Linked DNA regions of Mus musculus: all the other regions are reported to be linked to region 3. Evidence: microRNA targets listed by miRTarBase, many of them from high-throughput screens and not tested one by one. Region 3 holds a microRNA gene; each other region holds the end of a gene's coding sequence.
Evidence for each region. The annotated mature microRNA mmu-miR-24-3p reads UGGCUCAGUUCAGCAGGAACAG and lies in region 3 at 3,832-3,853, shown strand. An mRNA with a match to its seed (bases 2 to 7 or 8) in the 3' UTR can be bound and repressed. Matches are read on the target gene's strand: a 7mer-m8 pairs with bases 2 to 8, a 7mer-A1 pairs with bases 2 to 7 and ends in A, and an 8mer does both.

Region 1 (7,622 bases), not on the chromosome of region 3:
AACATGAATGATAACTGGTCCCTTTCTGGGTGGTTTCACTCCAGCTGAAGAGATAAGATGTTTATGCAGGTTGTTGTTATAGGCAAAAGCTAGTGACTACAAGGAGGGCATAGAAGGTGGTTCTGGTAGGAGACGGATGGGAGAGGACGGGAGTGGAACTGTGTTGAATGAAGGCTGTGTCTTCCAGAGAACAGTCATCCCAGGTGCAGTTCTCCTCAGCCTACAAACTGCCGCATGGATCTGTCCCACTTCCTGTAACACAATAAATATCTTGTGGCTTAAAATAATACTTTATTGCCCAAAAATGGAAATGTTTCCATTCCCAAATGTAATGATTCTTTTTAAGTTCAAGTAGTCCATAAAGTTAAAGTTAGACCTGGGATAACGCTGCGGGCCATGACATGAGCAGATGGTTTCCTGCCTCCCCACCCCCAGTTAAGTGTGGCCTGCCCTTCCCTGCTCCTCCTCCTCGTGTGTCTGTGAACAGTTTATATCAGCTACCAGAATGCCTCCTGCCAATGGCTATGCTAGACATGATGAGTACAGTATCTATTTGGGAAGCAAATTCTTTTGAAGGGTAGAAGGCAGAAAAGTACACAGGTCATAAGTTTACAGTATAATGAACTTTTTAGAAGCAAACCCACTCATAATGAAGATCCAGGGCCAGGCACAGTGGCACATGAAGGCAAAGGCAGGCAGATCTCTGTGAGTTCCAGGACAGCCTAGTCTGCGTACCAAGTTTCAAGACATGTAGGGCTACACAGAGAGACCCTGTCTCAATCAACTAATGATCAAAATCCTACCAGGGATTGTGAAGGAACATGCTCGCTGCCTAAACTGCCTTCCTCACCTCCTTCAGACTGTTCTTTTCTATCTTTATTTGTAACCTTTATCAATATGCTGAGATTTTTCTAAATTTGCCCTTTTGTTCTGATCACCTTTCTGAAAATAACGTTTACATTATTTGTAAAATACATTATAGGACCCTTGAGTGAGGTTGAGACAAGTGTAGTGACTCTCCATGATTGAAATGAAGCCAAGATCCGGGCATGGCCTGCGTGGTAGGTCACCTTTTCAGGAGATGCCCTCATTCCTCCAGAACAGGCATTGAGGCCGATTAAAGGAGAAGTATATGCCTTTTTCTGAAATGGCGGCTATGCAGAAAGATGGATACATGGCTAGAATCTGCCCTCTGCTGGACACTCATGGTACAACTGGGAGAAGGTACTCTCCTAAGGCTTCCTGGATGGCCAGCCTTTCACCCTACCTCCCTCCAGCTGTTCTTGCAACTTCTCTTTTCTCTTACGCTGTTTCACAACAATGATAGAAAATTCAGCTTAGCAAGGTGTGAGGCAAAGTATGTGGCAAGGCCTTTGTAAATGTCCTGGCAGTTTACTGTGAATGTGGAGTATGCTGGGACTGCTCACCATTCCAATCTCACCCACAAGCAATGAATGAGATTGGGTCCTGAGCTAGCGTCAGGAGAGGAGGAGTAACCAGCTGTTGTGTCTCTCCAGGACTCGACAAGGAGAACGTTGAACTCTCCCCCACCGCTGGCCACTGTAACAGTGGACGGACTCGCCATGGATCCGCAAGCCAAGTGCAGAAGCAAAGAAGTGCTGGCAGTTTCAAACGTAATAGCATTAAGAAGATCGTGTGAAGCGTTCTTTGTTTCACTCTTCAAACCAACCTAACATGGCTTCTCACTAGTGACCCCTCACCTTGCACTGCTGCACTTCGTGTCTTATGATCCCATCTGGTCGCCGTGTCGCCAGACGGTCATCTCTTGGAGCATTGCCTAAGTTTAATGCTGCTTTTCTTTGATGTTTTTCCTTCTACTTTGGCATGTGTCTGGTTGAGCACTTGTTCTGAGGACAGCAGAGACAGCAGGCGGTCAGGAGGCCTGACTGAGAGCGTGGACCGTGGGTGTGGATGAACCCTGCAGTGCTGCCGCTGCCGCAAGCCACGGGCCGTACGCGGAGGACGGCCTTCTGTGTTCCCGTCTTGCAGAGTGAAGGGGTCGTCTTAGTTACACACTTATAAGTTTGGGGGAGAAATCATATTTTAACCCCAGTGTATTTAATCTTCTAGCTGTGGACTTTTTTTTTTTTTTTTTTTTACCTTATGTAGTTGAAGGAACCACAGAGGCCAAGCCTCAATAAAGCCACAGGCCAGGGACTGAGGGAGGGGCAAACTAATATTTTGTAACGAATTCTTAAGAAATACTAACATTTGAGTCTTAGCAATAAGTACAGGAAAATAAGCGTGACACACACATCTTAACATTGCTGAATTAAAGCTATTGGTTCTGAGGCCTTATACATACTTGGTCATCCAACCTGGGTAATTTTTTTCCAGTTGATTATCTTTTAATTTTTACATATGAAGGTGTTCTGTTCTTTTTTTTTTTTTTTAAGCCAAGACTATACTAAGTATAGAAACTACACTTGTGTTTGCACTTGCTTTCTCCTCTTTCCTAAGTGATTCTAAGCAGGGTAATTTGCAGACAGAGTGGTGAGACTCGTTTCCACAAGGTAATTTTCATAGCTCTTTCCATTGGCTCCGTAGCAAAATGGAATGGTACGTGACATAGGGTAGGTGATATTTTTATTTTGTTAAATAATTTTCCAAGAAACAGAATATGCTGTATATTATCATAAATTTCTTTGATAAGATGTATTTTTAAAATCTTTTAATCTTACTCCTCTCCTCCAAATAAAATCAGGAATCTCTAGCAAAACATTTGGATTCTATCTGATAGGATTGCATTTAGTCACTGTGAAGTCTGGCCGGCCTGTGTGGTATGGACACAGGACCTCTAGGATCGCTGCTGTGCAGAGTGGCTGGACCAGTGGGACTCAGGCCCTTCCAAGGGATGCACACCCAGCTGCTTCATGGTACCCGCAGGATGCAAGACAGTTTGACTTTAGTGAGCACAGTAGTACATGGATGCTCTCAGTTAAGATTGAACTATATTTATTTTTAAAAGGTATTATCCCTCTACTTCCAGGTTCCCTTCATGTATTAAGACATAATGGCTTTGGGAGGGACCAAAAGAAACCCAGTAGGGTGTGGACAGGTCCTGTAGTGCTGGCTCACTAGTGGATTTCAGTAAGTTAAACTCCACAGCTAAGTCAATAAATAATGGTACATTTAAGTATTCTGACTTTAATAATATAACACGTTTCACACTTATCCATACAGTAACAATGTAATATGTTAATGTAAATAAAATTGCTTTTGATATTCAGAAATAACAATTTAATTTTTTTAATTTGTTTACAGCCCTGGGAAAAGTAAGAACCATTTGCCAAAATAAAAGGAAACCCCTTAGTGTTAGTAGTGATTTTAACATAGAATCACTGGAGACTACTGGAGACAGATGCAGCAAACTGAGCTCTTGTAAAGGCTGCCTTAGAATAACTGTCAGAGCAGATAACCAAGGCTGGGAGGCTGAGATGCCAGCTGAGTTTAGCCGCAGGAGGCCCGTGGCTTAGCTGCCAGGCCCGGCTCCCCACCGCAGTACTGCTGGGGTGCACCCCGCTCTGGCTCCTGCAACCGTGGGCAGCACAGACTGAGGCTGCTGTAACTCTAGTTGCTTGGCTTTTTTAAAGTCATTGAGTTCCATTACTGGCCCATTACTGTTTTGCTTCCCCCATCAAAACAGGACAACTTATAAATGTGCACTCTTCCTGTAGCGGGTTTCCCCATAGTTCTTAAACTGCCCCACTTGAGCTCCTATGGAAAGATCAAACGGAGCCACTTCTGACCAGTACATCCCAGGAAACTGGGGCAGCATTCCAGTTTTATCTAATAGACAGAACTTCCAGCTTTTGAGGAAAGTCTATCTTTGCAAGCAACTGAACCTACAGAGCTTAAAGTATCACTAGCTGCCCCTCCCCCAAAGGAGACTCTAATTACAGGAGCAGCTGAAGGTCTGAGTAATGTCCCATTTTACACAATTTGGTGTGAGTTCTGTGATTCATTTTCAATTTGTGTTTCCCTGACTTAAAAGAAAACAAAAAAACACTAACGGCTGTGTTTGTGCGTTTGGCTGGTACTCCTCCCCTGGGCTCCCATGCCCTCACTGTGGGGACACTGCACTCTGCTGGACAGTTACTCTTGCCTGCATAGTGCTGAGGCCGGAGCCTGGACAGTGCAGACTGCCACAGCCCCAGTGGGGGGACTCGCCCCAGCAACCACTTCCTTGGGGGGTTTAAGGTTGCAAGTTTCCTCTGGGAGATCTGGCTTTTGTTTTCCAGGTTTGGAGGAGTTTCCCCCCCCCCCTTTTTTTTTCTACATTACTCCCCAAGCATATTGAAGCATGTCTTATTCAATGTTATGCAATGGACTTCCACAAAAATTCACTTAGTGTCAGCCACACAATTTTTTTTTAATGCGGTATATTCCCCTGTAAATAGTTTGTGTAAAATTTGACAGAAAAGTCTATTTACTACATTGTAAATACATGTGATGATATATTGTATTATTTTGCTTTTTTGTAAAGCAGTTAGTTGCTGTACATGGATAACAAACAAAAATTTGATTATTCTTGTGTTCGTATTGTTAACTTCTTCCTGCGACTGCGTTCCATCATTTAAAGAAAATGCTGTGTATTGTGAACTGACCTTGTATATGATTAACTTACTCCCCTCCCCAACCAGGGGTTCCCTGCCTACAACCTTGTTGATAATGTAACCAGCAGGAGAACCTCTGCCTGACACACAGACTCCACTGCTGTGGGGAAACATGTTGACGTCTGTCGCAGAGCATCGGCCTCACTTGCTCCTGTCCTGTGTATGCCCTCCCTCCCACCCACCCCCCCACCCACCCCCTTTTTTTTTTAAAGTAAAATGTAAATTCAATCTGCTCTAAACTGTGAGGAGTTATTTATCACATGCAGCCAACTGTTTGTTTCTCTCTTCCTCCATGATCTTTAGAACATTAGACCTTGTCCACCTTTCAGGTGTGTTGTGGATTGCCTCTGCTCACCCTAAGGGAAAGATCTTTCTCCAAAAGTAAAGTCATTGAGTTCCAACAAACAGGGGTCTGTCCAACACAGAGGCAACTGTCACTCTGGCATAGGTGAACTTACTTTCCAGAGAGTAGCCTGTCATTACTTCCAGGCTCCGCTAATGTCGTGAGCAACTTCCCTGAGTGCTAGTATATCACTCAAGGAGAGCTACTGCCCACCCCTGTAGGAGACGGAAGCCTCCTGGCCCTAGGAGTAGAATACTTCTCTCTGAGCAAATGACCCAAAGTGTGCAGGGCTTTTTATGGGCAGGTGGAGACGAGAGGTGGTATTCTACCTTATTCTACCTTGGGAGCTCTGGAATATTCTGGTACCACCCCAGGCAAAAGCAGACCCACGGGGGTGGGGAGGGTCTGAGAGAGTATGTATATTTAAAGCATCTCTGGCAGTTTTGCTGGACACCCAGGCTTGAAGACCCCTGAAACTGAGTACTCAGTGCTGCAAATAGCTACCTGTCCCTGGGGCCTAAAGCACCTTAGTCAAAATTACCCATATCTCTGCAACAATCCAGATTGCACCTCACGATTCCTAGACAGCAGGCTCTTTGACTTGGCCAAGGTTTGCCAGCACAGATGCTGTCCTCTGGGTATCCTCATCCACTTGGCCATAGTGAACAGTGTGGCCATGGGATGCTGAAAATCAACTGGTAACCTTTAAACTGAAGGGACAGCCTCTCCCTGCACCCTGCAGCTGCTTCCTCCAGGTAAAATAGGGAGGCCACACTGCCATCTTGCCTGGGTCCTTTCTGCCCAGAAGTTAAGAGTGTGGCCAGTTGTAAGTCTTTGGGGTGAGGGGTGGGGGGAGTCAACAGCTGTAATTTCCACTGCCGGAATTCCAAACAAATACCCCTGCAAGAGGTTTGGCCTCTGCCGGCTGTGAACTTGTGACTTTATTAGGAAAATGGACACGTAACTGATCGGCATGTGTCCTAAGATACAGGGTTTTTGTTTTGTTTTTGTTTTTGTTTTTTTGAGGGGTGCACACCCCACCCCCCCCCAAAATACTTAAAAGACCTACCTTAGCACAAGGCCACACAAACAGGCACTCTTTCCAGCCCAGTGATTCTAGATGCTTCAATAGAATTAGAGGCCAGAGAGTTTTTCATAGCAGCTTGTTGGTTTGTGGAGCAGAGGCAGAAGGGAATGCATTGCTTGATCTCTGCCTCTACCCGAGCTCCACCACTGACCATTCACACTAGGGTTCTGCAGGAGACAAAATTTCTAGCCAAGAAAGCTGGAGAGAAGGCTAAGCGGTTAAGAACATGGGCTATTCTTGCAAGGGACTCAGATTCGATTCCCAGTGCCCACCCATATGGAGGCTCACAACCATCTATCTATATCTCCAGTTCCAGGAGATCTGATCTGATCACCGCGTCTGCCTTTCCTGGGCACTGCACTTAACATATGTGCATACAAAACACCCAGACATATAAAATTAAAAATCTTTAAGAATCATCACCAAAACACTGCCACTGCTGCCACCATCATCCCAAGCCATGCTGAGAGCGGCTCTACTCCTATTCCCCTGGCTCCCTGCTTAAACTAGGGGCTCAGACAAGGGGAAGCTGTGGTCGCAAATGCTCGGTAACACTTAAGAACTAACACTAGGTTCTATGTTGCTGGGGAACTACACAGGCAGAAAAACAGCAAAGAAGCCCTCATTGATAATACCAGCCCCCATGCAAAATCCCAAACAAAATAGAACCTGTGTAAAAGATCCATTGCAAAACTCTAGTCCTAGGGCTAGGGTGACATGTTCAGAGACACCAGCCAGTCGTCAGAACTGATGGAAAATGAGAATCAAGAAAAGCCATGCTCTAGTGCAGGCATTTCCCAGTCATTTCCCAACGATTTCTTCAGCTTGCACAACCATACATGTACAGAAAGAGTTCATTTCACCCACAAACAGCGGGGAGGGAAGGAAGGAAGGACAGGCAGAGCAGCCTTCCTTTAAATACTTCAAAAGTATTTAAAACTGGGAGAGAGAGAGAGAGAGAGAGAGAGAGAGAGAGCTAGCTCAGTGGGGTTCAATTCCCAGCACCCACATGGCAGCTTACAACTGCCTAACTCCAGGATCCAACACCCTCATACAGACAGGTTTGCAGGCAAAACACACTAAATGTTTGTTTATTTGTTTGTTTGTTTGTTTGAGACGGGATTTTTCCTGGCTGTCCTGGAACTCACTCTGTAGACCAAGCTGGCTGTCCTGGAACTCACTCTGTAGACCAAGCTGGCCTCGAACTCAGAAATCCACCTGTCTCTGCCTCCCAAGTGCTGGGATTAAACACATGTGCCACCACTACCTGGCTAAAAAAATTTTTAATTTAAAACTTGTAGAGTGGGAGCAAAGCTAGGAATGGTAATGTGGGTGAATGTGGTCAAAATGTATGATACACTGAGACAAATATGCCATAATGAGACATAATTTTGTAGAATGAATATACACTAAGGAATTTTAGAAACTGGTAGTGGCTGGGAATGTGCTCAATGGCCGAGCACTCACCAAACACGTACACGGTCCTGGGTTCAATCCCTAGCACTGAAAAAGGCCCAAAAACTTATTGTCATTGGATTAGAGCAGGTCCAGTTTA
Region 2 (7,622 bases), not on the chromosome of region 3:
GCTTCACTGTGTGCGATCTGGGAACCGAACCTCCGGTCCTCTGGAGGAGCGGCCAGCTGAGCCAACTCTTCACCATGCGGAATCCTTTTTGATTTATTTTTCGAGACAGGGTTTCTCTGTATAGCCCTGGCTGGCCTGGAACTCACTTTGTAGACCAGGCTGGCCTCGAACTCAAAAATCCCCCTGCCTCTGCCTGGGGTTAAAGGCGTGCGCCACCACGCCCGGCAAAGATTTATTTATTTTTTTATTTATTTGAGTACACTGAAGCTGTCTTCAGACACACTAGGAGAGGGCATTGGATCCCATTACAGATGGTTGTGAGCCATGATCGCTGGGAATTGAACTCAGGACCTCTGGCAGAGCAGTCGATGCTCTTAACCACTGAGCCATCTCTCCAGTCCGACCATGCGGAATCTTAAAAAGACGGGAGTCACAGCTCATTTCTTAATGGACTAGGTTGTTGTAGGACGTTACCCTTTTTTCTTGGATCTTCCCGAATGTCTTTTTGCTGAGCTAGAGTGGGGGAAACTAATTTCTTTGAATATTCAAGAAAGGTAAGAAGGCCCATAGTTGTTTGAGGTTTCGGGATCGGTGCTATCAAAGTTCAATCGGTCTTCCTCTGACCACTCCGTTACTCTTTTCACTTTGGTCTTTTCTTTTTGCCAACACCCACATCTCTTATCTTCTTACCGGGTTTTAATTCTAAGTACAACATTCAGCGTACCTGCTGTTGTTTACAGCTCACCTGGTGTTGTTGCCCAGCTCCATAAGGGCAAGGACTTTGAATTGCTCCCGATGGTATCACCAGATCCCAGAATTTGTTAAGCATTCCAGTAAACGTTTGATACGTAAATGAACATTATAAACTATTGCAGGAAACTCCCTGATTGCTGCAACCCAAAGGGTTTTTTTAATTTTTCATAGCATTTACTGTGTTTTTGTCGTTTGTTTGTTTGTTTTTGAGACAGGGTTTTTTTTGTGTGTGTGTAGCCTTGGCTATCCTGAAACTCTCCCTGCAGACCAAGCTGCCCTTGAACTCAGAGACCCATCTGTCTGCCTCTGCCTCCCGTGACCCAGCTATGTCTCTGTCTTCGAGACCGGAGCTTACTTTGGTGTATTTAAAACTGGCCTTGAACCCTTGATCCACTTTCCTCCACCTCCTAAGTAGTAGGATTTTTGAGATCTCTTAGTCTATTGCTTTTACTGTTAACTTTAATTAATTTATATATCTGAATCCCTACTAAGATTGTCAGGACTTCCTATGTGTCTCTATCTGTCTACCTTATCTCCCTTTCCTACCTTCACTCCCTGTCAACTGGTCTCTTGTTCTTCCTCTTGACCCATGACTGACTTTATTTAATCCCGTTTACAATAAACAGAAAGCTCATAGATTTAAAAAAAAAAAAAAGATTGTCAGGAATCTGATTCACATACTGAAATAATATATGTGTAAAGTCACAGATGCTGACCCTGTAGAGCTCAGCTTCCTTCTATCTCGGGCCTTCCCTAAGCTGCTAAACTGCTAGCATGTAACAGCCCCAAGGTAGGATGGGGCAATGGGACTAACTTCATAAATGCCTTCTTTTTTTTAATTTAAAAAAATTTATTATTATTATTATTTGGTTTTGGTTTTTCAAGACAGAGTTTCTCTGTGTAGCCCTGGCTGTCCTGGAACTCACTCTGTAGACCAGGGTAGCCTCGAACTCAGAAATCTGCCTCCCAAGTGCTGGGATTAAAGGCATGAGCCACAACCACCCAGCTCAAAAATGCCTTCTTTACATCCTATCTGCTACCTTCACTAATCTGCTAGGCTCTGAGACCCCCTACCTCTCTTAAGACTGTGACTGTTAGTAATTTCCTTTGTTCTGCAGGTGCCTGGTGGCACTCATGTGCCAGCTTCCTCTGCTTCAAGTAGCCAGTGATTAAAAGACATGGTTACCAGAAATCCATCTCGGTACCAAATCTGGAAAGAATCTTTAGTATTTAAAATAATGTTTGTTTATTTATGTATTTATTTAGTAAGTATATGTAGCCACAGGTCTGTCTCAGCTCATGCAAATGGGTTCCCATAGTGAGAAAGCAAAATTACTCTAACAAAGAGCTATGATCTTATTCTACAGATAATTAAAGTGGGACTGTCAGTTCAAGTGACTTCTTCCCCCAAAGTCACAGCCAGGAATCGCAAAAGTTAGCTTTATATCTTTGTTTCTTTAGGATAGGGTCTCACTATGTAGCTCTGGCTAACCTGGAACTCACTATGTAGATCAGGTTGACCAGATAGCCTTGTCTACTCTTGTAGCCCAGCCTGGTCACAAACTTGCTAGGATAACTTTGAATTTCTAATGCTGCTGCCTCAGTGGCTTTCCTTGGTGCTGGATTATAAACATAAATCTCCATACCTTTTATTTGTGTGTGTGTGTGTGTGTGTGTGTGTGTGTGTGTGTGTGTGTGTGTGTGTGTCTAAGCCATTATTAAATGTCTTCCTTAATTCCTGTGATCATTTTTTTTTTTCTGTTGAGATGGGGGTCTCAAACTGAACATAAAGCTCACCAATTCAACCACATCATCTAGCCATCAAGCCCCGAGATCCTTCCAGCCTCCCCAAGGCTGGAATTAACAGGTGTGAACCATCATGACCAGTATTTGTACGTGGGTGCTGGGAACCAGGCCCAGATCCTCACACTTTCATGGAGAGCATTTTACAAGCTCACCCGTCTCCCAGAACTGTTTTGTTTTCATATTTTTAGTCCAGACTGACCCAAACTTAGCACATCGCTAAGATGGCCTGGAATTCCTCATCCTCCTGTCTCTGTCACCCAGACACTGGAATTATCGGCATAAGCTACCATGCCAAGTATCTCTTCCTTCTTATTACAGTTTCGAGCTCAGCACTCTGTGCTGATTTCAGTGGCAAATTAGCAGGATAAGGACTTCAGTTGTAAGGACTTCAGCCTGATAAGCCATCATGTAACTGTAATACCAGCATTCAAGAGGCTGGGGCAGTATTCTAAGTTACGGGCAGGCCAGCCTCGGTTATATACAGAGACTCTGCCTTCAAAAGAGAAGGAAGAGAAGGTAAAAGAAAAGGCAGGAAGAAGGGAGGGAGAGAAAAGAAATATGGAGGCAAAACAGTAGTTCCCAAAAGTCCTGGTTCTCCAGCTCTGCCGCCTCTGTACATTCTTCAAGCACTCTCTGAGCCCCGCGCCTCTGGCAGCCCTCCTCCTGCCTTTTGCTCTAAGAAGCCACTTTTAAGTCCCTGGAACAAAGCTTTAGAGCAGTAAATGTGGGACACAGTGGGGTGGGGAGGAGGGCTGTTAATTTTAGCCTGGGGTTCTCCAGCTGGCACAATTTCCATCTTGAATCATTTCCACACCCTGAGCCCTACTAGGAGATCCCTCCTCCTGGGGGCTTCCCCATCCCCTGCTCTGGTCTGCTGCAATGGTAAGCATTCCAGAAACGTGCCTAGGAGAACCTTGGCTGAGTCATTTGATGTACTCCCTCAACAGAGGGAGCTTGGTGATGGGAGATGCCTCCCTCAAACTGGGCTTGTGACTTGTGGCCTCCAAGAAACTTCCAGTTCTCAGAAGAGCCGCTTGGTCCTTGTTCTTTTTCTCCTCTATAACTCTATCGCCTGAAGACCCGAAGCCCCGAGTCACTGTTGGAGTTTTAAGAAAGAGAAAAATGAAAGGTGTGCTCCCCAGGGCCCATGCTTTGTCATGGTTAGCAAGACACTGACCCAAGCTGGCATACTTCCTCTAAGCAGGCGATCCAAACATCCAGATTGTCTTCTCTCTCCTGTCTTTCTGTCCATCTGCCCTTCCACAGTGGAGAGGGCATCTGGGGAAAGGGAACAGGTGAGACTCCCAGTGTCTCACTGGTATGTTTAATTTATTTAAATTTAGGAGGACTGCAGTCTAATCAGACGGCAATTAATTCCTTGTTCATTAGGGGACTTCATGTGTGCCTTTTGCATATGGATGAGCCACAGGGTCACACTGTCCCTCTAAAGGGAGAGTTGTGGAAGGTGAGAGCCCAGGGAGCCCTTCGAACGAGAGCATCTTGCCCTTCTACTCCAAGTGCTCTTTCATTCCCCATCGCCATGGCAAGGCCTCCAGCCCTGTGGGGAACGCTGGAAAGGTTAAAGAGGCTTCTTCACCTTCCACGTAGCCCTTCCTTCCTTCCCTACTCACCGACCTCCCCCAGGCCCTTCAGTGTCCTCCTGGCCCCCTCCCTTTCCATTCCCTCTGGAATCTCCTGTGCACTGTGCTGACAGCCCTCCTCAGAAGGCTTGTTTGCTCCTACCTCAGCAGGGTGGTCCTTGGTTCATGACTCCGGTCGCTGCTCTCCTCTGGAGCAGCCTGTCCTAACACTGCCCTTGTCCTAAGACAGACAGTCGTCACCGTGTGCTTTAGGGGCTCAGCTACACGTCTTTCAATATACAGTACAGCTCGTCAGCATCTAAAGCATATCTATCTCTCTCTCTGTGTGTGTGTGTGTGTGTGTGTGTGTGTGTGTGTGTGTGTGTGTGTGTGTGTGTACGTGCATGACACACACCTATTTATAGCCTCAAAGATAAAACACATGGAGGCAGGTACATTCCGGGCAGCCCACACTGCTCTCTTGGATACTATATTGTCTCCTACTTCCGTGGGGCTAGCCATTTCCAGAGAGCAGGTGAGGCACAGATGGGGGGTAGGGTGGGGAGGAACAGGACACAAGACCTAGGTGGTTACCAGAGCAACAGAGCCTAGCAACAGCTGAGAAACTGATGTGTGGGCTTTACTAGGGCTGTTAAAGAGCCAAACCTAGAATTGCGACCCCAGAGGTGACTGATCCCAGCTGGGCAGCCTGTGTTCCCTCCCCAGACACACCCCTTGATTCCACCCCCACACCTTAGCAAGTGGGAAAACCACACTGAGCTGCACACAGGCTCCTGGTGCAGCATAGCTTTTTGGCGGGCAGTTGTGGGCAGGGCCATGGTAAGGAGCATGGATGAAAATAGAGCGGGTAGAGCATCCTCTCCTGGGCTCGCTCATCCTCTCCCTATGACCCTTTATCCTCTGCCTTAGCTGTCTTGCCCAGTGCGGTGTGGTGACTCATGCCCGTAATGCCAGGATTCAGGAGGCCAAGGTGGGTGAATCTAGTATGGGCCAGCCTGGAAACAGGGTGAGAGACTCTATGTCAAAATCAATCCATTGCCTTTCTGGCTTGTCTCATTGCTTGTCCTAAGAAATGTCCCTACTTTTCTCTGTCTTTGGTCTCTCTTGACCCTCACTAGTAAGGAACAAGCAAGCCTTAAAAACACTTCAGATGCAAGTTCTCCCCCCTCAGGGCTCTTTCTCCTCTGGAGCCTCTCCGGTTCCTTCCTTCATCCTGTCCTAAGTTAAGGTATCCATCAGTCTCCAGCTTCAGGTAGAGCAGGCCAGGTGACAATCTAGTCTGAAGAAGTTCTTCATCTCCCCTTTCTCTCCCATTCTCCTTCCTGTCCATCCTCTTCTGTGTATGGGGCTGGGGGACGGTGCCAGGGGTTGGGAATTATAAGGCAAAACAGGCAACTAAATTATCTTGCAAAGGCTTTATTTGAAAATTTTGAAACTTACATCCCACAAGATTATCACCACAAGAAGAAAGAGATAATACAAAAATATATATCACAGCATAGGAGCCAGGTAAGAGGGAGAAGGGAGCTGGAGAGGTGAGCGAGAAACTGGAAGAATCTGAAAAAACGGAAAAGGGAGAGGGGAGGAGGGAACGTGAGGGGCTCAGGGAGAGAAGGGTGGATATGGAGGCAGAGCTCCCAATGGCCTTGAACCAGCTGGCTTCAGTTCCTGGCAGCCTAGGTACATTAAGGGAGGCCTTAGGGGAGGGTGGGAGATGGAGGACCTGTTGAGGGGGCTCCGAATTCCATACAGACACATACACACAGACAGCCAGGACCGACAAAACAAGGGACTTGGGAGGGAAGGGAGGACATGGGAGTCCCTTCTCATGTAGTGCAGCAGGAGACTCCCCCAAACCCAGACTTCTGATGACAGAGTTTAACAACTGGGCCTCACTACCCCCGTTCCTGTGGGGGAGCCCTCAGTAATACCAGCATCCTTGGAATGGAATGGAAAGACACAGATGTGAATGGGGCCATGACAAATGGTACAAGGAGCCCCTAGCTCACCTCCCACCCACCTCTAGGGCAGCATGCAAGGGCCACAGAAGCTAGACCAGTGGGTGCTGATGAGGCAGAGTGGGCACACTATGCCATATATTGGAGCCAGAAATGCTCGTGCCCAGTCTGAGATGGGCACAGAGAATGTAAAGGGGGCAGGACATAGGCAACACGAGGGAGAGAGCTAGGAGCCGGCTGAGCAGACGTGAATGGGGACACGGCAGAGGAGCAGCGTGGAGAGCGTGACTGTGCTATGGCCTGTGAGGGTGTGGGTGAGTGTGCAAGGCTTTCATGTGAATGTGCAAGGGTGGGAATGGGAGACCCCAGTCACTGGAGGACAAACGCTTGGGCTTGCCCATGGGATTAGTGAGTGTCCCAGGTTGTGTGCAAGGACAGGAGCTAGGAGCCCCCCACCATGGCCCCAATTCCCCAGGGTTGCCCCACCCTCAGTGGATGGTGGCTATGCTGGCCACTTGGCCTCCTGCTTGGCAGCACCCCAACATGGGGGGGCATCACAGATTCACCAGGGGAATCCTGAGAGGAAGAGGGAAAATGCACAGTCAGGAACCAAGGAGTAGGCTGAAGCTGCAGGAGAAGTCAGGGTTAAGAGGGCAGAGCTGGAATTAAGGGTGGTAGGAGGATAGAACAGAGAGCCTAGGGGTGCAGGGAGCCCCATTCCCCTTGGAGAGGATCTGACCAGCCCCCTTGGGAGGCCCAGGAACCAGGTCAGGAAGGGTGTCATGGACTGCATTAGGGAAGACCACCCACCCAGGAAAGATAACTGAAGGTCTAGAGGTTCCCTCCTCACCCTCCCATCCCATCAGCCCCTCCCATCCCATCGCCCTCACCGGTTCAACTGGAAGGCTGGAGCCCCCTTAGGCTGGGGCATCCCAGGCCGGGGTCCCCCTCGGGGTTCCTCATGGTCAGGGGTGGGGGTAGGCGAGTCCCCAAAAGCCCCCAGCACAGTGACTCCAGCAGGAGACAGGTCTGTCAGTGGTTGCTGACTCTCCTCCTGCCTCAGGGCACCTTGCTGCCCTGAGGGCCTGCGCCGCTTCTGGCTACGGTCCCAGCTTGTGCATCATAAGGAAAGAGGTCTTCTCACAAACTCAAGTACTCTCTCAGTTCAGCATCCCTGGTTAACCCAGCTTCTCCTTCCCCAAACACCCCAACTTCCCCACAGCAAGGAAACTGGCTTCTGAGACCGTCAGACTATTCCTTCTCCTTTCCTCTAGATCATTTTTGGAGGGCCACAGGCTTAATGACTCCTCCCCACCAATACATAGCCCTTTAAAACTGCCCCTGCCACACTGATGTCCAGAGGAGCCTTGCTCTCCTCTGCGGGGACCTGGCAGATTTAGTTCAAGCTCAAAGTCAGCTAATGACTTGGGCACCTGAATCTAACGATTCTCTCAGTAAAGTGTGAAGGACTGTGTGACCCACTATTACACGTGTTCAAAGAAAG
Region 3 (7,622 bases):
TCCTCTGTAGACCAGGCTGGCCTTAAACTTCCTGAGACATACCTGCTAATGCCTGCGGAGTGCTGGGAACATGTGTATAAACCACCACACTTCCTTGATATGGTACTGGGGGTGAAGCCAAGCCCAGTCAGTGTGCTAGGCCAGCAGCTGCCATTGAGCCTTACCCCTTGTTGCTTTTTTTTTTTTTAATTAAAAATTATTTCACCGGGTGTGGTGGCGCACACCTTTAATCCTAGCACTTGGGAGGCAGAAACAGGTGGATTTCTGAGTTCGAGGGCAGCCTGGTCTACAAAGTGAGTGCCAAGGACAGCCAGGGCTATAGCCATGGCTACACAAAGAAACCCTGTCTCAAAAAAACAAAACCAAACCAAAACAACAATTATTTCCGTGTGCAGATGTTTTGTCTGCATGTATGTCTGCAGAGTTCAGAAAAAAGTGTCAGGATCCCTAGAACTAAAGTTGGAGATAGTTGTTAGCCACTATGTAGGTGCTGGATATTGAACCTGGAACCCCCGGAAGAGCAGCAAGTGCTGAGCCATCTCTAGCCCTTTCTTTTTGAGACACACCATGTCTTGGTAGCCCAGGCTGGCTTCTAAATTGAGATCTTTTTACCCCTGTCCTAGATATAGGGATTACACGTCTGCAGTCTGCTGTCATGTCACATCATCTCGAGCTCTGAAATGATTCATTTTTGCTTTCTTGCAGACAGAGACTTTGCCACAGAGCACGTGTGTTCTTTGCCCATAGTCAGCCAGCAAAGAAGCTGCATAGCTCACATGCAGGCTGACGAGCTCCAGAACTGAGTGTCCCGTAGCCAAAACCCTTTCCTTCCCTTTCCTCCCCCTCCCCCTTTAAAAAGGGCCTCATATGTAGACCAGGCTGGCCTCAAACTCATATATATCTTCCTGCTTCTGTCTCTTCCTAGCTGGGATCACAGGTATGCACCACTGTAGGGCTTATATAAGACCTGGCCCTGGTGCATGGCATGAAAATTCTACTCTCCTCCCTTTTGTGTGTGTGTGTGTGTGTGTGTGTGTGTGTGTGTGTGTACAGAGTGCAATGTCAAGTGTAGTTTCTCAGGATTGTGTGTGTCTGATGTCCTAAAAGGTGGGAGACATAGAATCTCCTGTAACTGGAGTTACAGATGGTTGTGAGCCACTGTGTAGGTGCAGGGAACTCAACCCAGGTCCTCTGAAAGAGCAACAAATGCTCTTAACCACTGAGCCATCTCTCTAGCTCCAACCTTGTTTTCTCAGAGAAGGTGTCTTACTGGGACATGGAGCTGGTGAGGCGGGCTGGTGGTGAGCCCTAGAGCATCTTGTGGCTTCCCTTCCCCAGCTCTGGAATTACAAGTGTGAATTGCCATACCTGGGGACAACACAAGCCCTTTTGCTTACATGGTGACCACTTTATTGATTGACCTATCACTGAAGACCCTGATGTTTTTTTTTTTTTTTTTAAGATTTATTTATTTATTATATGTAAGTACACTGTAGCTGTCTTCAGACACTCCAGAAGAGGGAGTCAGATCTCGTTACAGATGGTTTTGAGCCACCATGTGGTTGCTGGGATTTGAACTCCGGACCTTCGGAAGAGCAGTCGGGTGCTCTTACCAACTGAGCCATCTCACCAGCCCGACCCTGATGTTTTATAAAGAAGACGTGTGTGTGTGTGTGTGTGTGTGTGTGTGTGTGTGTGTGTGTGTGTTGTCTGGTCTTTGTGCATGACAGTGCAGTACACTCAGAGACCAGAAGAGGGAGTGAAATCCCCAGAAGCTGGAGTTACAGGTAGTTGTGACAGGTGCTGAGATCCAAACTCGGGCCCTCTGCAAGAGCAGTAGCCACTCTTAACCACTGAGTCAGCTCTTTATCTGAAACAAGGTCACTTGTGTCACTATGTAGCCCTGGATGGTCTGAAACTCCCTACACAGACCAAGCTGGCCTTGAACTCTTAGAGATAGTACTGTCCAAGGCCTGGTTCTTGCTTTCCTTTGCCTTTCAAGTGCTGGGACTAACAGTGTGCACCACCATTCTTAAGTTTATTTTTATTGTCTGTTTGTGAATGTTTGCTTACGCGTACGTCTGTGCACCATATGTATGCCTGGTACCCACAGGGGCCAGTGGGGAGCGTTGGAGCTCTTGGGAATGGAGCTATAGATAGCTGTGCTTGTCATGTAGGTTCTGGGAAAGAAACCTGTCATCTCTCCAACATTGAAATTCTTTAAACAATTTTTAAAAATTGTGTGTGTGTGTTCCCAAGTGCAGAGATCAGAGGACAACTTGCAAGGGTCCGTATGCTTTTCTTCTTCGTGGTTCTTGGGTTTGAGCTCAGGGCATTGGGCTCCATAGCAGCTCTGCTCACTTGCTGGATCAGCTTGCTGGCCCCTGAAAACTTTAACTGGCACGCAGGACACTACTCTACATTGGGTAGGCCCCAAATTTTGTGGCTTGCCCTGGTACTGGGTGCTAAATACCTTCTCTGTAAGTTTTCACTGGCCTTCCTAGTAGAAGGTTTGGGGTTTTGTTGTTTTATTTTTGTTTTTCTTCTATTTAAGACTAGGGTCTCAAACTGTAGCCCAGTTAGGCCTAAAACTCATCATGTAGCTTAAGCAGGCTTTTGACTCCATTCTTGGCAACCTTCCTGCCTCAGTTTCCTCAATGCTGAGATAAACGTGAGCCACCAACTGCAACTGTTGTAGTCTGCTTTACAGATGGGGAAACTGAGGCTTGGAAGGCCTAGGGGAAACTTTACTGAGGTGTTATTGTTGGGGTGCATCGGCCTGCTTCTCCTTGCTTGGGCCCTAGGTGGTGTGGGGTGGGGGTGGGGTTATGTCTGAGCTGGCTGGGGAGGAGAGGGCTGAGGTGGGAGGCCCTGGAGTTTCCTCCTGCCCTTCAGGCTTCTAGGAAGTGGCGCCAGCTGGGGTGAGGTCACTTCCTCCCTCCAACCGTCCACCTCCCTCAGCTTCCTCTCCATGGCCCCATTTGGCCTGCTTTGGGCTCAGGGCTGTGGGTGGGGATAGAAGCAGAGTGGGAAGCAGCTGGGAAGGCTCTGCAGCCCCTTTGGCCTTAGGGCTTCAGGCACCTCCCGCTTTGTAGGGCTGGGGTAGAGGCACTGCTGGGTGCCCAGCATCCAGCAGCCTCGCTCCAACCTTCCTACGGATCGATGCTCCTCTTTTTTGGGAATGCTTCTTCCCTCTTGGAAGTAGAGGAGGGCTAGGGTGTGGATCAGCAAGCTGAGTTTAGATTCTGTCCCCAGCACCACTTAAACTGTGTGTGGTGAGGTGTACCTATAATCCTAGACTCCAGAGGTAGAGGCAGGAAGAACTGGTGCATTCGGAAACCTTGTGTTCAGCTATGTGAGACCCAGCCTGGTCAAGATAGGCAGGCAAGCAAGAATGCTCCAATCTCACTGTCTCTTCTTTCTCTCTTTAGGTGCTACACTCCGCTCCCACCTGCTGCCCCCCTCACTGTGCCTCGGACGGCTGGGGTTCCTGGGGATGGGATTTGATGCCAGTCACAAATCACATTGCCAGGGATTTCCAACTGACCCTGTGCTCTGCCTTGGGGGCTCCTGTCGCCAAGGATGTCTGTCTTGGGTACTGGGTAACAGAGAAGCCTATCATGACAACTGGCCTGAGGAGCAGGGCTTAGCTGCTTGTGAGCAAGGTCCACAGCAAAGTCGTGTTCACAGTGGCTAAGTTCCGCCCCCTGGACCCCATCTCCTCAGGCCGCTGCTGCCCACCCTGCTCTGCCTCCTGGCTGGCAGGGCTCTGCCTCTCTCCGGGCTCCGCCTCCCGTGCCTACTGAGCTGAAACAGTTGATTCCAGTGCACTGGCTCAGTTCAGCAGGAACAGGAGTCCAGCCCCCTAGGAGCTGGCAACCCTGCAGAATGTCTGCCGTGAGCAAGACCTGGAAACAATGGGGTAATTAGTCCAACCTAAGCCCCGTTGTCTGCTGGAGGCTCAGCCTCTAAGCCTGCATCTGGGTGTCCACCTTGAGATTTCTGTGGTTCCCCAAAGCAGATAGATGGGCGGGTAACCCTTGCATTAAAAGCCAGTTATGTCCCCTCAGGGCCTGGAAGCCCTTCTTTTCCTAAGTCTGGTGGGGCTCAGGCACCACCCCTTATACATACCATCTTTGAAGTCAGTTACCCAAGAGGAAGCTGCTTTAGGCCCTCTAACGGTTAAATGCCAACTCTCTGCTTCCGGAAGAAGGCACTGACCTGATCCAGTGTGCCTAGCAATCCCATGGGGTCTGCAGCTTTCTGCTGGTGACAGCGAGGCAGGGAGCGAGGTCCACACAGGCCTCAGGATATGAACAGATCCATGCCCCCCCCCCCCATTGGCCTGTTGAAGTAATCTCCAGGCTTGGAAGTTAAAAAGTTGCCTACTACCCACAAATGAGACTGCATGCAGACTAATTGGAACTGGCTGAGTTACACTTCCCAGACCATACAGTGTCCTCTCCCTACTCTGGGCAGGGGCAAATCGAAGCCTGGGTGGAAGAACAGAGTTGAAAGCTTGTATTGAATGTTGTTCTCCAACTAAATAAAAGCTCCACAGCCTCATTCCGTAAGGGCTGACGTCTCTTCATTCCCGCCTCCCACATGTGTGTTGCTGGCTTTTTTCATTTCTCTTGAAACAGCATTTCTGTGTAGACCAGGCTGACCTTGAATCAAACTCCTCCAGTGTCTGGAGTTTGGGAATACCAGCTGCACCACTATATCTACCACACCCTGGGCTCCTAACCTGCATTGCACCTATCCCCAACCTTGCTCCACCTGCTTCTAGGAAGGTGTAAATATAGTTCTGTGGTCAGTAGGTGCTGCGACCTGAAGATCCTGGGATCCTTTGGGGATGGCTTGAACGGGAGGGATAACCCAGACCTGGGGTGTATGAGACCAATCTGTGGTCACCCCAGTTCCATGAGGGAGTATGTTACAAGAATGTACTCTGCCTATGCTGGGATGCACTGACTGGCAAGATGCCAGGGCTTAAGGACGGGCACATATGCGCGCACAGACAGACACGCGCGCATGCACACACACACACACACACACACACACAGGGCTTAAGGACGGGCACATATGCGAGCACAGACAGACACGCGCGCATGCACACACACACGCACGCGCGCGCGCCCGTCTACACACACACACACACACACACACACACACACACACACGCACGCACGCACGCACGCGCGCGCGCCCGTCTGCGCCAGAAGGGCTAAGGGGCGGATCGCCTCTGATCGGCTCCCTGGAGCAAAGGAACGCACCATGAACTATGGCCACACTCATAGTCACAGCCAGCTCCCATAGTGCCCCACAGAGGCAACACACACACACACACAGCTTCCAAGAGAACGGTCCTAAACAATGACCCTGTCAGACACAGCTAAGGACATAAAGAACCGGAGAATGAGAAGAATGCCCAGGCCGTCCGCTGGATGAATCCATCTAAGAACGGGAGTCTCATCCACAGCCCAAAAATGCAATGGGCAGGTCACTGGGGACACAGGCGTCCCCAGCTGCCCTCCGCACCTGGTGAGACCTCCGGAGCTCCGAATGACGTTGTCTGGAGCCAGACGCCCCCTGGTGGTCATTTCCTGCAATGAAGGACAGTGCAATCTGGGTGCATTTTCCAAAAACCTACAGACTCTAGGTTTGGGCGTTTTAAGCCTCCTGACTTGCAGAGATTATGACATGCAGATGGAAAAGCAGTAAAGCCACCAGCAAGAGGTGGCTCTTCGTGTCACCACGATGCCATGAAGAAACCAGCAGCCTCTCCTGTCCCATTCAAGTTGTGCCCAAAAACCGAGATGGAAAATTTTTTGGTTAATTGAGCAGGTGGTAGGTACCCCTGGCCCCGGGTGTTTGTGTTAGCAATGCAACCCAGTCTTGAAGTTAAAAAGAAGTTGTGTTCAATCTTTTTTTTAAAAAAAAAGGAAAAAAAAAGGAAAAGAATACAGTATGGGGTTCAATAAATAAGAAAAAAAGTTACAAAATGATGCCAACTTTTTCCTTAATATACAAGAGAGAAGACAGGTGCGTCTGGGGTGGAGGCTCTCCCTTCTCTTCCTCCCTGGGCCAAGGCCTGGGATACAGGAAGGCCTGTCAGCAGCTGGGACTTGAGAGAGATGCAGACATGGGGAAACTAAGGGAGTGGGGAAACAAATGGAGGTGCAGAGCAAGAGGAAGACAGAACGGGGTCCCTGGCTGTCTGCCTGTGCCTCCCACAACAGGCTGGAGGGCAGCCTGACTCCTGAGTTGTGTATCCAGTTACTAGTGGTGGGGTCTGGCCAGCAGAGAGCTGTCCCCAGCCTACCCTGTGACCTTGGTGCCCAAGAGAAGACAGGCCCTGGCTTGACAAGGGTATTTGGGGGTGAGGTATGTGGCAGAGGCCCAAGACCTCTTAATATCCTTCAGTGGGGTGAGGCATTTGTGCTGGAAAGCTGGGGCTGGGGGCGCAGGGCAGTGGGACAGGAGCCCTGAGCTGTGGAGAGGGGAGAAACACAGTGGGAAGTAACTACCCTGATGTGAAGTGCCTAGGCTCCGGCCAGCTCCGGCTCTGGAGCATCTGCTGCACTGAGTTGGAGGCCTAACTTCACTCTGGCCCAGCCCTTCTCCTGGAAGTCCCAGCTGACCCTGGGAGTCTGGAAGAGCCAGAGCTTGCTTCTTCCGTGTGAGGTGCCCAGGCACATACTCCCTGCAGGGTCTAGTTAGCAGTATGGCTTCGGATCCTCAGATCGCATGTCCCGTTTGTCTGCACACTCCTAGGCACACACCTGGAATGATGTCACCCTCTGCCTCCCACCTCTGTAACTTTACTGCAAGTAGCCATGGGCCTCCTGTTTGAGGAAGGTGGGCCTGGGACACCCATGCTCCCGGCTTTCTGCAGTTCCTCAGCCAAACCGTTCCCGAACCAACAGCATCAACTTCTTCTTTCCCTTGTACGTCTGTTTCAGGTTTTCTAAGAACTGTGCGAACTGGAGGTGCCCGTCTGGTGCCAGAAGGAAGGTCTCTCGAGCTTTGCCCAGGAACTCAATGAAGTCACCATAGTGGCGTGGGCTAATGTGGGTGAGGCGAGAGTGGCTGGTGGTTATGTACGCGGCTACTGCGGCATCCAGAAGCTGACAAAGTGGTGCCCTGTCAGTCCCTAGTGGTTTGGTAGCCCTGCGGGCCCCCAGTGGGCCCAGCCCGGGTGCTGAGAGTGTCCAGCGTCGCAGGATGTCTGAGAGCATGGGTGCACAGTGGATGCTTCGGATGATGAGAGGGACAATGGCCGACAATTCGTGCCGCCCCAGCGAGTGGCTGAGGGAGCAGGCCCACAGCACATCGTTGACTGCAGGGTGGCTGTCTTGGTTGAAGGCAATGCTGAGTTGTGCCAAGGCTAGCGTGGCCAGCTTGTAGGCCCGCAGAGGCAGGCCTCGATGCTCCATATACCGTGCAACCGTGAAGAGGTGGGCGTGGCCGAGGCCACCGGCTGCAGCGTCCAGCACAATCTGGTAGGCAGCCTCAAAGGCCGCGTGGTTCTTCTCACACAGGGTCAGGGCTGGCAAGGCGCAGTTCTGGGGATCCTTCATGGCGCACTGCAGTGCCAAGGTGCGGGCACAAGCCCAGAG
Region 4 (7,622 bases), not on the chromosome of region 3:
GATCTTTGTTCTCTTTGCCAATTTTGTTGATGTTTTCCAAAAGTCAGCTCTCTTTGGTTTCTATTAGTTTTCTTCTATAATCTAGTTAAACTATGATATAATTTATTCTTTTGCATATCGGCAGTTTCTAGTTTCTTTTAGGTATAAAGATGAGTTGAAGATTGGAGAGTGTTCTTTTTTTGGCATATGCATCAACAGGTAAAAAAAAAAAAAACTACTTTTGCTATATTCCCTAACTTTGGGTTTGTTTTGATTGCTTTCATTCTGTCACATATTCTTGAATTAACTATGAGATTTCTCTTTGTGTTTGTTGTTGTTTTGAGAATGTGTTGCTTAATTTCAGTATGGTGGTGAAAATTTCAGCTTCTGTCTATTTTCTCATTTTAGTACGATCAGAGAAGATACTTCATATGATTTTGATCTTTTTGAATTTATTGACTTTATTCCTAGCATATGCTAAAAATGTATGCTGTGATACTGTTAGGGTGATGTGCCATTATGTCTGTCATATTCCATTGTTTTATACTGCTCTCCAATTCCATTATTTTTTCAAGTGACTTTTATCATTTTTTTCACAATTGAAAGCCTGCTGCTGAATTGTACCACTGTTGTTATGTAACTAGTTCTTCAACTATGCAAAGAAAATTGCACCACCTAAGTGTCCTTAAGAATAGGACATAGTTAATGTTCATGGTATCGATGAATTAATTCTATTATCTTTATATAATATCCTTCTATATTTCATTGTTCTTGATTTAATGTTTGTCTGATGTTAGTGCAGACATCCATGTTCTGTGGTACTACCATCCTTTCACTTTTAGTCTGGGTTTTTTCTTGACTGAAGAATTTCTCATATATATATATATATATATATATATATATATATATATATATATATATACATACCAATTATTACTCTCCATTTTTAAGCCAGCCAGCCAATCTATATGCTTTGATTCTAAGTTTAATCTATTTCATTAATAATAGAAAAGGATATTGTTTTTGTTTTGTTTTGTTTTGTTTTTTTTTTTTTTTTTTTTTTTTTTGGTTTTTCGAGACAGGGTTTCTCTGTATAGCCCTGGCTGTCCTGGACCTCACTTTGTAGACCAGGCTGGCCTTGAACTCAGAAATCCGCCTGCCTCTGCCTCCCGAGTGCTGGGATTAAAGGCGTGCGCCACCACGCCCGGCGAAAAGGATATTGTTTTCATTTTGCTGTTTCCTTAATGATCTGCTAGTTGGTTTCCTCTTTCTTACCCCCCTCCCCCATTTTTTATATTTTCCTAACAGGCTTTGGTGTTTCTTCTTGTTTCCTTTTGTGTTTTGATGTGTCCTTTTTAGTTAGCATGTAATACCTCTTAACAGTGCACCATTTAAATTGAAACGTAACTTCATTACTTCAGTAGCATATAAAAGCACTACTTGCCTATAGCTTTCCCATTTTTTTTGCATCAGAAGCCAACCCTTTACATGCTACATAGTCATTAAACAGATATTCTTTGACTGTTCTTTAAATTCCAGTTCCAAAATCACAATAATACAGATTCCTATACTGGAGAATATTTTTTAAGTTTGTACTAGAGACATTTCATTTTTATGTGGCTTTGTGTTGCTGTATATGTTCCTTTAATAATTTAGTCTTCAAGGATCCTCATTTCTTGTGAGAAGATTCAGTGGGAATAAGCTGTCATAGATTTATCTAGGAAAATCTATTTTCTCCTTCATATTTCCAAAGACAGTATTGATAGGTTCATGTCTTGATTGACAACATTTTTCCTTTAATACTTGGAACATGTACTCTATTTCCTTACAACCAACATCGTTCCCGATGAGAAGTCCACTCCTAATCTCATGGAAGCTCTATTGTATATGCCAAGTCATTTCTTCTCTCTGGCTTCTTAGTTTCTGTCTTTGTCTTTGATTTAAGACAAAAGTCTCCCATTTCTCCCATTTGATTTATGTAGTTGATATTTTGGTTTATTGCATTTACTTGTCAATTGCTTTCTTAGGATTTAGGAACTTCTCACCCACTGTTTTGTCAAACAAGCCATCTGTCCCTCATTTCTCCTTTCTCCTAAAAGATACTTGTCATAGTCAGGGTTTCTATTCCTGCACAAACATCATGACCAAGAAGCAAGTTGGGGAGGAAAGAGTTTATTCAGTTTACACTTCCATGCTGCTGTTCATCACCAAAGGAAGTCAGGACTGGAACTCAAGCAGGTCAGGGAGCAGGAGCTGATGCAGAGGCCATGGATGGGTGTTCTTTACTGGCTTGCTTCCCCTGGCTTGCTCAGCCTGCTCTCTTATAGAACCAAGACTAACAGCCCAGAGATGGTCCCACTCACAAGGGGCCTTTCCCCCTTGATCACTAATTGAGAAAATGCCTTACAGTTGGATCTCATGGAGGCATTTCCTCAACTGAAGCTCCTTTCTCTGTGATAACTCCAGCTGTGTCAAGTTGACACAAAACTAGCCAGTACAATACTGTCAGTGCATATGTCCATTTCTTTGATACAACCCCACTAAGTCCCTCTCTCCTCTCATCCCCTCCTCTCCTTTCTCTTCTCTGACTTCATGATTTCAAGTGACCTGTCTTCAAGTGTGAAGATGATCTCTTCTGCCTGCTTAAGCCTCTGCTGAATTCCTTTTGAGAACTTCCGTATAGTATAAATTCAGGTAGAGTATTTATTGGTGTCACAATTTCTGCTTGGTTCCTTTCTATAGTTTTTTTTTTTTAAGTTTCCTTGCTAATATTCATATTTTTTTTCATTCATCACTTTCCTGATTAAATTTACATTGTGTTCTTCCTTAACTCATTGAAAAAGTTTCTGACAGTTATTTGAGTTTATTTGCCTAATAGATAGTTTATGGTGGCTTTCTGTAGTCCCCTCCCCCACCTTTGCTTTGGGCTGTTTGCATTTCCTTATACACTTTGCAGTCTCTTGCAGAGAAAATAGAGGAGGAGATGAGAGGAGAGAGGGACTTAGTGGGACTGTATCAACGGGGATTTGGGAATTCATTTTGAAAAACAAAAACCAATCAACTCTTTGTCTTTCTGTCCTGACAATGTGCCAATGAAGATTTTTAACCATCATCCTGATTAGATATTCCAAGACCCATTGACCTTTCTCTGATCCTTTGCTCCCTCTAGTGTCTCCCTTCAGTACTGCATGTCTAGGATGCAGTGGTAGTTTTCTGCAGCTCTCAAGTTTTTTCTCCTCCTGCCTTTCTACACATAAGCTGAGGGAGCTTCAAGTCAGGTGAGGGGGAAAGTTTCCTGGACAGCTGCCAAACAGGACATTAGGAAGACTACCTACTCCTTTGTCTCCACTCCATTCTGAAGCTAGAGACTTTTAGGATGTTTCTTCTTAGTTGCCACTGTGGTTACCTGGTTAACCATGATAGGCTGTGTAGTGAGGGTATGCGTGGCATAAAATAACCCTTTGTGCCAGGCATGGTGGTGCATGGCCTTTAATCGCAGCACTTGGGAGGCAGAGGCAGGCGGATTTCTGAGTTTGAGGCCAGCCTGGTCTACAGAGTGAGTTCCAGGACAGACAGGGCTATACAGAGAAACCCTGTCTGGAAAAACAAAATAAAACAAAACAAAAACCCAAAAAACCCTTTGGCATGCTCAACCCCCCTTGCTGGAATCCTTTCCTTGCCTTTACAATGGCCTGGGTGCTCTTTGTTCTCACTTCTTCTCTAGAGTTTACCAGAATTTAGTGCAGTCTTTATGAGGGAGGATTACTTGTAAGCCATTTTGCTGACACCACTCCGCTGTTGAAACTTAGCCTCTCTTTAGATTATCTCTATTAGTTTACACTCTGTTATTTCCATAGTTATCATTGCATAGCACATGTCCCCACACACAGATTATGATCCTTTTAAACATTTTAAACATGTATACATTTTACAGATGGTTGTGAGCCACCATGTGGTTGCTGGGAAATTGAACTCAGGACCTCTGGAAGAGCAGCCAGTGTGACCTCTGGAAGAGCAACCAGTGTCTTTGACTGCTGAGCCACCTCACCATTCCTGGAATTTTGTTTTGTTCTTTTCAAACAGGGTTTCTGTGTGTAGCCTTGGCAGTCCTAGAACTGGCTCTGTAGACCAGGCTGGCCTTGAACTCACAGAGATCCACTTGCTTCTGCTTCCCAAGTGCTGGGATTAATGGCATGTGCCACCACTGCCCAATGATCCTTTTGATACATAAGTTTTAGATCATCTAAAAACAAAACAAAAAACATAACTATAAAATGCCAATAACAGGTTTTGCTACTATTTGTTCATATATGTTACTTTATTAACTTCTATTTGTTCTCTGTGAATCTCAAATCATTTTCTCTATTCCCACTCATCTCTCCTTCCCCTCATACCCGCCCGCTATCCATCCTTGCAACCTCTCCTCTCAACAACAACAAATTAAAAAAAAAATCTCATGGTGGAAGCTTTAGTGTGTCACCGTGTGTCCCACAGTACACCCTTTTGTCCACACTTCTTTGCTTGCAAATGTTCACTGCAGTGACTCACAGGTCTGGTTCGAGACCTCTAGCTTCTGCTGCTTTATCATTACTGGAACCTCACTGAGACTCCTCTCAGATATCCTGTAGTTTTGGTTCTGTAGGACTGGCCCCTTCACTCACTCCAGCAGTTCATTGATAGGGTAGATGCTGGGGTGGACCAACTCAAAGTCCTGTATATAGGCATGAGAGGTATGTGAGCTGATCAGCCAGCCAGCTGTCCTCTCAAGCCCTCAGGGCCAGCTCACCCACAACCCCCACATCCAGGGCCAGCTGTACTGTGCTGCCCAGGTGAGGTGCAGGGCCTACTCTCCCCAGTGCTGCAGCAGGTGAAAGGCAGGGAACTTTACAGCTCTGATGGCCCCGGTGCTACCTGAAACTGAGTACAGCCACCTATAATCCTAGCCTTAAAAGTTCAAAGTGTCTCAGGTACTAAGTTTGAGGTGACCCTGAGATACAAAACACCCGGTCACGAGAAACAAAGAAAAAGTGTGGATAAATGATGACTTTGCTAGTTTTATAAATAATTCTGTGAGCGCTTCACCTTCAGAGTGGCTAGCTTAGCTGGCCAGAGACCCCCCTGGGATCCTCCCATCTTTGCCTCCCAGCACCAGGCAGACAGGAGCATCTCTGGATTTGCATGTGATAGGGTCCTAATGCAGGGCAGGATGGCAAGCACTTTACCAACTGAGCCACCTCTCCAGCTGTACTAGTGTAGGACAGTATCTTATCAAGTGAGACCAAAACTATTTCGACTTAACCATCCACTTGAATGAACTTTTTGTTCTTTCTGATGCTATTCTTTTATCTTCTGCATCACCCTGATTATATTCTGAACATAGTATTCTGAACAGCAAAGTCCAACTTGCTTTTCAAACTTATCTCATTCTTAATACATCTCTTCGATTTATAGTTCTCCCACCTAATCCAGGAAGTTAGATATAAGTCTAGAAACACATTCCCCTACCCCATGTTTTGCTCCTTATCATGTTGTAAATTCTATTAGAGTAAAGCGAGTCTTCTTTGAAGGATGCTCTGGGTTACAGTCTGTTCCAACCTTTGAGATTTAATGCTGAGAAAAACTTTTGTAACAAGCATGTGACTCAGACATTCTCTCTCTGTGTGTGTTCATGTGCCATCTTTGCATCTGTATTTTACAGTGAAGGGGCAATTTCTGCTCACTTTCACATAGACCTTTATTGAAGCACAAGACTCAAATATACACGAGAACAACATTTAGAAGGGCATCTTATTTACAACGGCTCAGTTCACTTTACACTCAAATACTGAACATCACAATCAACACAACAAGCGTCATCAACAAGTGTCATGTGTTTTCAGTTGTATCTTCATTTGGCATCAGAACGATAATACAGAGTACACAGGGTTGGGTAGAATTGCCACCAGCATTAGAGAGGTACACTGAAACAAGGAAGCAGCTGGGAAAGCAAAGCAGTATTTGAGGGTCAGATGACTCAGGAACAAAAGGACAACCGGAGGCAAAGGGTTAGTCAAATTACTTTTTGTTTTTGTTGTACTGCTTCAGGGTGCTTTTTGATTGCCAGGTTTGCGTTTTAGTTCCTTGGCAATTTTTTCAGCCTCACGGAATGCAGAAATAAATGGTTCAAGATTCACTGCATCTTCTTCTTCATCATCATCATCATCATCAGAAAACAGTGCCTCTTTTTGAATATGTTTACTGATAGTCTCAAATATTGCAAGAACAATTTGAATGTTTTCATCTGACTCCTCCCTATTAATAAGGTCCATAAATTCTGACACCGAATCAGTAACAAGTAGGCGTTTTGTCATGACAAGGTTTTCAGACAAATTCAGTAGCAGTTTCAGAACATGAAACCTTGTTTTGGTATTGCCTGAATTCAGTAAGTAGAAAAACCCAGCCAAGTAATTGACAACCACCTTGTGATAGTCAGAAGTAGCAGTGAGGTGTGTAATCATTGTCAATCCGGACAACTGATCAGGGGAATCCAAGTCATAGTCAAAGGTGTCCTCGCAAATCTGACACACGTATGTCTCAATCATGTTCAGGTCTGGATAAGGGGGAGCCATGCGGACCATATTTTCCAAAAACCTTGTCCTCACTCGGGAGGACGGATAGTTAAGTAAGGCTTCAATCAGGGAGACAACGCCCGAGTTTCGAATGAAATCCCGGGTAAACTGAGAAGCACCTCGCATGCCCATTGCAATCTTAGATATCTCATGGATAAAAGGATCACGATTTCTGTCCATCAGTAAAAGAAGCTCCTCAAACTCCTCAGAACCAATTCTAAGCTCACACTGGATGCAGTTGCAAGACCAATTCTCTGGCTGTGCACTTTCCCTGGCCTTAAGATGCTCGCGAATTTCTCGGACTGAGCGGTAAGAGGGATCATACTGAAATGGGAACTGGGGTTCAGGCTCCCTTTCTGGACCAACTTCCACAAGCTTAGGCTTTCCCCCAAACATTTCTGCAAACAGAGATGCCGCTTCTTTGGGGAATCTGAAGGGGTTCATGGGTGGGAAGCCAGCTTTTCCCCACGGACCAGCCTTAAACTGAACAGTGACCTCATCCCAGCTCTGAGGCCTGCGGGAAGGGTCAGGTTCGTGCTCAGCTGAAGACTCGGGTTCACAAACGGCCTTGCATACAGGTACAGGATTTGATTCAAAGCTAGCTTCATCTCCTTCCCAGAACCAGGCTCCCACTATGGTTTCAGCTTCTGTACTATGTTTACAATTGTCACCACTGCCAGTCTTGTTAATCACCTCATCTTTTGCTCTTGACCCAAACTTAACAACTGACTCTTTCCCATTTTCTGGACTGGCCTCACTGACAATCAGAGTTTTAGCTTCTTTTGTGGCCTTGTCACTAGACCAGAGCCAGGACCCAACAGCTATGTTACCGTCATCTTTTGGCTTGGACACACGCTTTACTCCTGCTTGAATACTGTCCTTTTTTGCAGCCCAGATCAAGGACTCAAAAATTGCTTCCTCTTCAGTTTCTGACCCAGTTTCGACAGTCTGGGACCCAGCCCCTACTTTGGCCTTATCAGTCCAGAACCATGACCCAGTAACTTTCTCTTCCTTAATCCCAGGAGCAGACTCAAA

Region 1: miRTarBase lists Nf1 as a target of mmu-miR-24-3p. The part of its 3' UTR that is shown has no 7-base or 8-base seed match.
Region 2: the mRNA of Pianp is a reported target of mmu-miR-24-3p. Seed matches in the 3' UTR shown: 7mer-m8 at 5,760-5,766.
Region 4: the mRNA of Gprasp1 is a reported target of mmu-miR-24-3p. Seed matches in the 3' UTR shown: 7mer-m8 at 5,778-5,784.

What each region holds. Positions count from the first base shown.
Region 1 is chr11:79,576,737-79,584,358 of GRCm38, forward strand. Nf1 (neurofibromin 1) reads left to right here. Exons shown (of 58, transcript NM_010897.2): 58 at 1,518-4,873. The coding sequence ends at 1,660. Among named protein-coding and RNA genes, the nearest start is that of Rab11fip4, 11 kb to the right of the region's middle.
Region 2 is chr6:125,001,035-125,008,656 of GRCm38, reverse strand. Pianp (PILR alpha associated neural protein) reads right to left here. Exons shown (of 6, transcript NM_175696.4): 5 at 7,009-7,230; 6 at 5,561-6,694. The coding sequence ends at 6,673. Among named protein-coding and RNA genes, the nearest start is that of Zfp384, 4.4 kb to the left of the region's middle.
Region 3 is chr8:84,205,044-84,212,665 of GRCm38, forward strand. It overlaps Mir24-2 (microRNA 24-2), which reads left to right and starts at 3,772; the gene lies at 3,772-3,878. It overlaps Zswim4 (zinc finger SWIM-type containing 4), which reads right to left. Exons shown (of 14, transcript NM_172503.3): 14 at 5,899-7,622. The coding sequence ends at 6,903. It overlaps Mir23a (microRNA 23a), which reads left to right and starts at 3,475; the gene lies at 3,475-3,549. It overlaps Mir27a (microRNA 27a), which reads left to right and starts at 3,629; the gene lies at 3,629-3,715. It also overlaps Mir3074-2.
Region 4 is chrX:135,801,541-135,809,162 of GRCm38, reverse strand. It overlaps Gprasp1 (G protein-coupled receptor associated sorting protein 1), which reads right to left. Exons shown (of 11, transcript NM_026081.5): 11 at 5,695-7,622. The coding sequence ends at 6,060. Among named protein-coding and RNA genes, the nearest start is that of Mir1970, 19 kb to the right of the region's middle.